2 linked regions of the Arabidopsis thaliana genome follow. The protein of the gene in region 2 binds, or shares a complex with, the protein of the main gene of each other region. Each region holds a gene or a part of one and is shown on either strand. Other genes may lie near its edges.

Region 1 (4,094 bases), 9.0 Mb from region 2:
ATCATTTTAAGTTTATTCCACTTTAATTTTGTAGTTTTTTTTTTCTTTTCTTCTTTATTGACTGATATTATAAATCACAAAGTTCAGGATGCAATGATTAAATTTATTAGATTACAATCAATGAGTATTAGTTTATAGTTATTAAAAATATTTAATATAAAAAATAAACAGTCATAAAATAATGTTTAATTTTTAATGTGTGTAAAATCCAAAACATCAATGCTTACGGAGATTTCCTTAAGATTAATAAAGTTGATTTTTATGTAATAAGAAACAAAATCTCATTAAACTTTAAAAGTAAAAAAAATAAAAATATGAAGTGTCACTTATGGTAGTAGTATCCAAAACAATAAGTTAATGGATTTGTTTCTAAAGAAAAGAAAAACACTATAAACAGAGGATCCTCACCATCAACTTTCACTAATCATCACAACTTCAACTTTTCAATACTCAGATTAACAATGGCTATTTTCTCCAAATTACATCTTCTCTTCTTCTCCTTCATCATAGCCACATGTATACATAAAACATTTCCAACATTTTAAGATGACTACTTTGATTTAATAATTTATCTGATAATTTTTTTTTGTTGTCCGTCCTAGTAATTTTTTTTTAATTGTATATTCTTCAAGGTACAATTTCTATTGTCTCCGGCACCGTCTTCACTTTATCAAACCGCTGCAACTTTACTGTGTGGCCCGGAATCCTAACCGCAAACCGCACACTACTCCGCGGCGGCGGATTTGCCTTAGCTTCAGGTTCTTCTGTAAACTTAACCGTTTCTCCAGGTTGGTCTGGTCGAATCTGGGGTCGAACGGGCTGCAACTTCAACGCCTCTGGTTCCAGAAAATGTAAAAATGCACCGGTGCAAGAGGAGCACCACCAGCCACACTAGCAGAATTCAGAATCGGCTCCTCTGGAAAGAAATACACCGTACAAGATTCTTACGACGTGAGTCTCGTCGACGGTTACAACGTTCAGGTGAAAATCACACCACAAGGTGGCTCAGGCAATTGTAAAACCGCGGGATGTGTTTCGGACGTGAATGCCATTTGTCCAAAAGAGCTACGCGTTAACGGCTCATCGGGTGTTGTGGCGTGTAAGAGTGCTTGTGAGGCTTTTAACAAACCGGAGTATTGTTGCACCGGCGCTTTCAGTAAACCGGAGACTTGCCCGCCGACGAAATACTCGAAGATATTTAAAGGAGCTTGTCCCACTGCGTATAGCTATGTGTACGATTATGCTTCGAGTAGATTTACATGTACTAGTGCTAATTATGTTATCAGTTTCTGTTCTTAGGCATAGTATAGCCTTTTTTATTGTTATTATTATCAACAATGAATAAATAATTAATCACTATTAACATAGTTTTATGTTTTTTTTTCATCACTATGAAATGTATTAAAGCAAAAAAGACTAATGTTAAAACTTAAAAGATTAAAAATAAAATAAAAAGAAGTTAAAATGACATTTAAATAACGTAAAAATAAACGACGTCGTTTAGCCAAAGTTTCTACTATCTATGTATGTGGTGGAACGAGGTCCAATGGTTGAACAAGCAACCTTATGATATATTTTATGAGAAGAGGCAAACAACACCTAACATTGGATTCGAGCTCTCTAGTGAAGAATCCGCCATGGCTGTTCCATTTCTAAGCTCTTCTCTACAACTCACACCCACTTCTCCGATTCTCTTCACTAAAGTAACACCAACACCAATAATCCACAACCACAGATCAACATGCACTATACCCACAAAGCCTCGTCTACGTCTCCTCCGCCGCTCCGCCGTCGCTGGAACCGCCGTATCTGATCAAACAGAAGGAGGTGGAGATGTTCTTTTAAACCCTGAAGAAGAGAAACGTGTTGAGGTGGCGGATTATGATTGGACAGAGGAATGGTATCCATTGTACTTAACTAAAAACGTCCCTGAAGATGCGCCTCTTGGCCTCACCGTCTACGATCGTCAAATTGTTTTGTATAAAGACGGTGAAGGAACACTTCGTTGTTACGAAGATCGGTGTCCTCATCGGTAAGATAAATCATCTAGCAAAACCACAACCACTAGTTTTGTACTTTTGTTTAGGAATCTGAAATTGAGTTTTGTCTTTTTTTTTATAAAGGTTGGCTAAGTTGTCTGAAGGACAATTGATTGATGGGAGATTGGAATGTTTGTATCATGGTTGGCAATTTGAAGGAGAGGGCAAATGTGTCAAGATTCCTCAGGTTCTTTGTTTACTGATTTTTGCTATTTCGAGATTTTCTCTTTACTCTGTACTTACTGGTTTTGGGTTCTGTTTCTAACAGCTTCCTGCAAGTGCTAAGATTCCAAAGGCTGCTTGTGTGAAGACGTATGAGGTGAAGGATTCACAAGGAGTTGTGTGGGTGTGGATGTCAACAAAGACACCTCCAAACCCTGAGAAGCTTCCTTGGTTTGAGAATTTCGCTAGACCCGGTTTTTTCGACATTTCGACTACTCATGAGCTTCCTTATGACCATTCCATTCTTTTAGAGAATCTGATGGATCCTGCTCATGTTCCTATCTCTCATGATAGAACGGATTTCACTGCTAAAAGAGAAGATGCTCAGCCTTTGGTTTTCGAGGTCACAGAGCGAAGTAATCGGGGTTTCGCAGGGACTTGGGGCCGAGAGAAAGAAGGTGGGAAAGGGAGTAATTTACTTCGGTTTGATGCTCCTTGTGTTCTGCAGAACAATCGAGAGTTCGAGGGGAAGGATGGAGTGAAGAACTATTTTTCAGGGCTGTTTCTTTGTAGACCTACAGGGCAAGGGAAGTCTATGCTTATTGTTAGGTTTGGGGTCACAAAAAGATCGCCTTTGGTTTCGGTGTTACCTCAATGGTTCTGGCATCAGAATGCCTGCAAGGTTTTTGAACAAGACATGGGGTTTCTATCGTCTCAAAATGAGGTTCTGATGAAGGAGAAAGTACCAACTAAGGACTTGTATTTGAATCTAAAGTCATCGGACACATGGGTCGCTGAATATAGAAAGTGGATGGACAAAGTTGGTCATGGGATGCCTTACCATTTCGGGCATAGGACCATATCTCTCCCCAAAGTCCCTCCTGTCGTGGAACATGCCCCGGCAGGGCTCATTGCAGCTCTCTCTGCTTCTTACCCTGCAAAAGGCGGAATTGGGACTATGCATGCTCCCAATTTGGCTAACCGGTACTTCAGACATATTATTCATTGTAGAAGCTGCAGCAATGTGATCAAATCTTTTGAGCTCTGGAAAAATATCCTCTCTGCCACGGCAGTGGCTTTGACGGCTTTGGCCATTCTGGTGGTTAGTAGACAGTGGAAGGCTGTCCTGTTAGGTTCAGCAGCATTGTGCTCAGCCGCAGCTTATACCTGCTTAAGAGCTATAAATCTAAACACCAATAACTTCATTAGAACACACAGAAGACTATGAAAATGTATAGTGTCATGTTTCCTCTTCTTCCAACAATATGTATTTCATGAAATAAATTTTTGCTTGTAAACGCAATTATATAATTCAGAAGGTTCCAATGTTTGCCATCAATCTTACAGTTTAACCATGAAATTTCTGTTAAACTGGTTTAAAGTTCTATGTTCTAAAACTTGAGCCATTTCTTCTCATTCTCTTTGCTTACTATAGCATTTGAGGCAGCTGCTTGACATGCTAATGTACTTGCCAATGCCTTTCGGACTTCTTTCAATCTTCTCGTCGCAGCCTCTGAAACAACTAGATCTTTCTTGTTTCTGTTCACCATCTGTTCTAGTTTCAACATTTCTAACTTCAAGTCTCTGACTTCATCTTGGTATTCAACCAAAGCTTTCCTGTCTACTGGACCTTTGTTTTGCCTATTTTTTACAGACTCGCTGTGTACTTTCTCATGGCGGGTAGGAAAAATTTGTTCATTGATTAAGCTAAACAAATCTGGCTTCGATTCCTCTTCCTGTTTCGCTGCTTTAGCTGCTTCTGCAAACTTCTTCCCACGCTTCCTTTTCCCACCTCTGCTCCTTTTCTTCTTTTGTTTCTCGCTTTTACATTCTCCATTCCTAATGTGCTCAAGAGCATAATCCAGTGACCGCTTTGCTGGAAGTACTTTTACT
Region 2 (2,992 bases):
CCCGGTAGCTCTAACAGTTGCTTCAACCTATACATGAATCAACATGAGAAAATAGTAAACTGTGGCCAAGCTAAGATGACAAAATGATAAGCTTTTACAAGAGCATACAAAGGTATCAGTAAATACAGGGAAACACCGGGTAGAGTCAATGCATAAGACAAAAAAAAACGTGACGTAAAGCACAACAACTGAAACCAGTAAAGCTTAACAATTTCCCCAGTTTAGAGAGACTCTATAAGGCCAGTGATCACCCACATTGCGGAAAAAACAGAGAGAAGCATTTGATTGTGTCCTCCTAGTATGGATGGTTTCAGAACAATAATAAGAAAGAAGAATGAATGAGAGGAAGAAATTACCGAGGCACGATCGCGAGGGTGATTGTAACGACATCTATTACCGTAGCCACAGACACCAGTTCGCATGTAGTAGGCACAGTCAGGAGCACCTGGTCTCTCAGGGTACGAGTCGCTACCCAACCCTAATCGCCACATCGATTCTGCAAATCACAAAATTGAGCACAGTCAGGGCCATTTAGCGGAAACCCTAAAGAGACCGTACAGTTGCTGAGAATCAAAGCGCATGCGAGACCTTGGAGTCCGGTATCGGCATCTGCAGGGGTCCAGTCGGGAGCTTGAGCAGATTGTGAGCCATTGAGGGGAGGATTGCGAGCATACATGTCCTTAAATTTAGGGATTTGGTGTACAGTAAAAAAGATACTAGTAAAAACTCCTCTCACCAAACTAGAAGAAACTAATAAGAGAGTAAATGTCAAAAGCTCATCGGTGGATCGACAGAGATTTACCGGAGAAGCCGATTAGAAAAGCTCTGAGAGAGAAGAAAAAAAGAAGAAGAAGAAGAAGAGATGCTTCGACAGTGATTGAGAGGAGCTTCTTCTTTGGTCGGTCTCTCTCTCTCTCTCTCTCTTCTTTCGCTCTTCAGGAATACCGTACGGTCTGCCCTCTGCACTACTGTTTCTTTTTTTAGCTTTCAATTTCTTTTTCTCATATTCTTTTTTAAATAATAATAGTATATAGTAGTAGTTTGTATTAATTTGTTTTGTGAGATTTATTTTTGGTTCTCTCTTGGTCCTTGGGTCGCCAAGTAAAAGCATCCCAGAAAAGGGAAGATATTTCCAAGAAATATACTACTTGACAAAACAACAAACAAAAAATAAATAAACTAATTTTTACTAGTTTCCAACCAAAATGACGGTAAGGTCCTTGGGCGGGGATAGCGCGCGAGTGGCCAACATGTGACACACAGACAGTTTTCTCACTTCACTTGCTAACTCGGGGAGTAAAGTGGTCTGGTCCGAAAGTGGGGACACATCCGTCATTTCTACCTGCTACTGTTTCTTAACTGCTCTCTCAACTCGCTCTGACCGAGTCTGACTCGACTCGACTCGCCTTCAATCAATGCCATCACATTTCTTCGTTTCCGCTTCCCATTTGTCGGCGCCACAAAAACCTTCTGTTGTTCACGAAGCCCTCTAGTACCATATATAGGCCCATTTATATAGCTAAGTCGGCCCAATTATGTTGTTAGTGTGCGCGGGCCAAATTTTAGATTCGAAAACGGCAGCGTTTGAGCTGTTACTTTTTTTTGCTCTTCTTGTCAACAAATCGACACTGCCGACTAAACAGCGAAAATCCCAAACAAAAAAATAAAAGAATGGCGTCTCTGTGCCTTTCTCTCCACCAAACCCTAACTAATCCCCTGTCGGCTCCCAGATGCAGACCACTCAGCCTCTCCTTCCCCGGATCCTCAACCTTCTCGATCCGCCCCTCTAGCAGACGCGCAACCGCCTTGACGACCCGCGCCTCCTACACCCCGACGCCGGCGACTGAGCGCGTGATTTCGATAGCGTCGTACGCGCTGCCGTTCTTCAATTCTCTGCAGTACGGGCGGTTCCTGTTCGCGCAGTACCCAAGGCTGGGATTGCTGTTCGAGCCAATCTTCCCAATCCTGAACCTGTACAGATCGGTGCCGTACGCGAGCTTCGTGGCATTCTTCGGGCTGTACCTGGGAGTGGTGAGGAACACGAGTTTCAGTAGGTACGTGAGGTTCAACGCGATGCAGGCGGTGACGCTGGATGTGCTCCTGGCGGTTCCGGTGCTGCTGACCCGAATACTGGATCCGGGTCAAGGAGGCGGGTTTGGAATGAAGGCGATGATGTGGGGGCACACGGGGGTTTTCGTCTTCAGCTTTATGTGTTTTGTGTATGGAGTCGTCAGCTCCTTACTCGGCAAAACTCCATACATTCCATTTGTCGCTGATGCCGCCGGTAGACAACTCTAATTCCGGCCAATATCTACCTCACTCAGTGTTCGGGTTTTCGATTCTAGAATCGGTTATTTCTGGTTTATAAGAGAGACCAAATCAATCAGTGTTGTTAATTAACCATTACCGTTTTAAAAAAAATATTTTTTGTTATACTCCCAACATTTGATTTGGCCCAATATGAAAGAACAGTATGGGGGGCCTTTAATGAAGCTATCATTGACTGAGTATAATTTTACAATCGTCGGTGAAAAGGTAACTAAGTAAACGGTAAAAAAATGAGCGCCGTCTATCTTACCGCGCAATGAATGAGAAGTCAATTTGGGAAACTGATCGGAGAAAAGAGGGAGAGAGGGTTTCTCAGCTGAAATCAAAATGGGTATTATCAGATTTCAAATCCTGAATCCGACGAGGATTTGTAGGTCTACTATATATTATATGTCTTGCCGTTATCTGCCATCATCATCATCATCATCATCACCACTCCGAGTATCTTCTTCTTCATCGCAAAAACCTAGTTTCGATTTCTCCAGAAGGTGGCATTTTGGTCACCCTGATCATCACCAGCAATATCAAAAGCCTGGAGAAGAAGGGGAGAAGATATTCCGGCTAGGTCTCACCGCAGATATAGGTTTATCTGTCGCAAAAGCTCTCACCGGTTATCTCTGCGGCAGCACCGCCATTATCGCCGATGCTGCTCATTCCGTTTCCG

Evidence for each region. Proteins that work in one complex are often made in the same cells at the same time.
Region 1: Tic20-II (region 2) and TIC55-II share a complex: the UniProt entries of both Arabidopsis thaliana proteins name them as parts of the tic complex.

The regions. Positions count from the first base shown.
Region 1 is NC_003071.7:10,573,401-10,577,494, forward strand, and holds TIC55-II (translocon at the inner envelope membrane of chloroplasts 55-II), read left to right. Parts: upstream 1-1,541; 5' UTR 1,542-1,637; coding exon 1,638-2,032; intron 2,033-2,123; coding exon 2,124-2,226; intron 2,227-2,307; coding exon 2,308-3,429; 3' UTR 3,430-3,538; downstream 3,539-4,094. Other genes in the region: AT2G24810 (Pathogenesis-related thaumatin superfamily protein), read left to right, coding at 462-516, 633-788, 847-981, 1,064-1,299; AT2G24830 (zinc finger (CCCH-type) family protein / D111/G-patch domain-containing protein), read right to left, coding at 3,593-4,094. UniProt on the Arabidopsis thaliana protein: Involved in protein precursor import into chloroplasts. Part of the redox regulon consisting of TIC32, TIC 55 and TIC62.
Region 2 is NC_003071.7:19,593,637-19,596,628, reverse strand, and holds Tic20-II (putative conserved protein ycf60), read left to right. Parts: upstream 1-1,627; 5' UTR 1,628-1,671; coding exon 1,672-2,298; 3' UTR 2,299-2,442; downstream 2,443-2,992. Other genes in the region: AT2G47850 (Zinc finger C-x8-C-x5-C-x3-H type family protein), read right to left, coding at 1-27, 357-496, 589-676; AT2G47844 (uncharacterized protein), read right to left, coding at 1,190-1,336; AT2G47830 (Cation efflux family protein), read left to right, coding at 2,656-2,992. UniProt on the Arabidopsis thaliana protein: May be involved in protein precursor import into chloroplasts. Not redundant with TIC20-I, TIC20-IV or TIC20-V.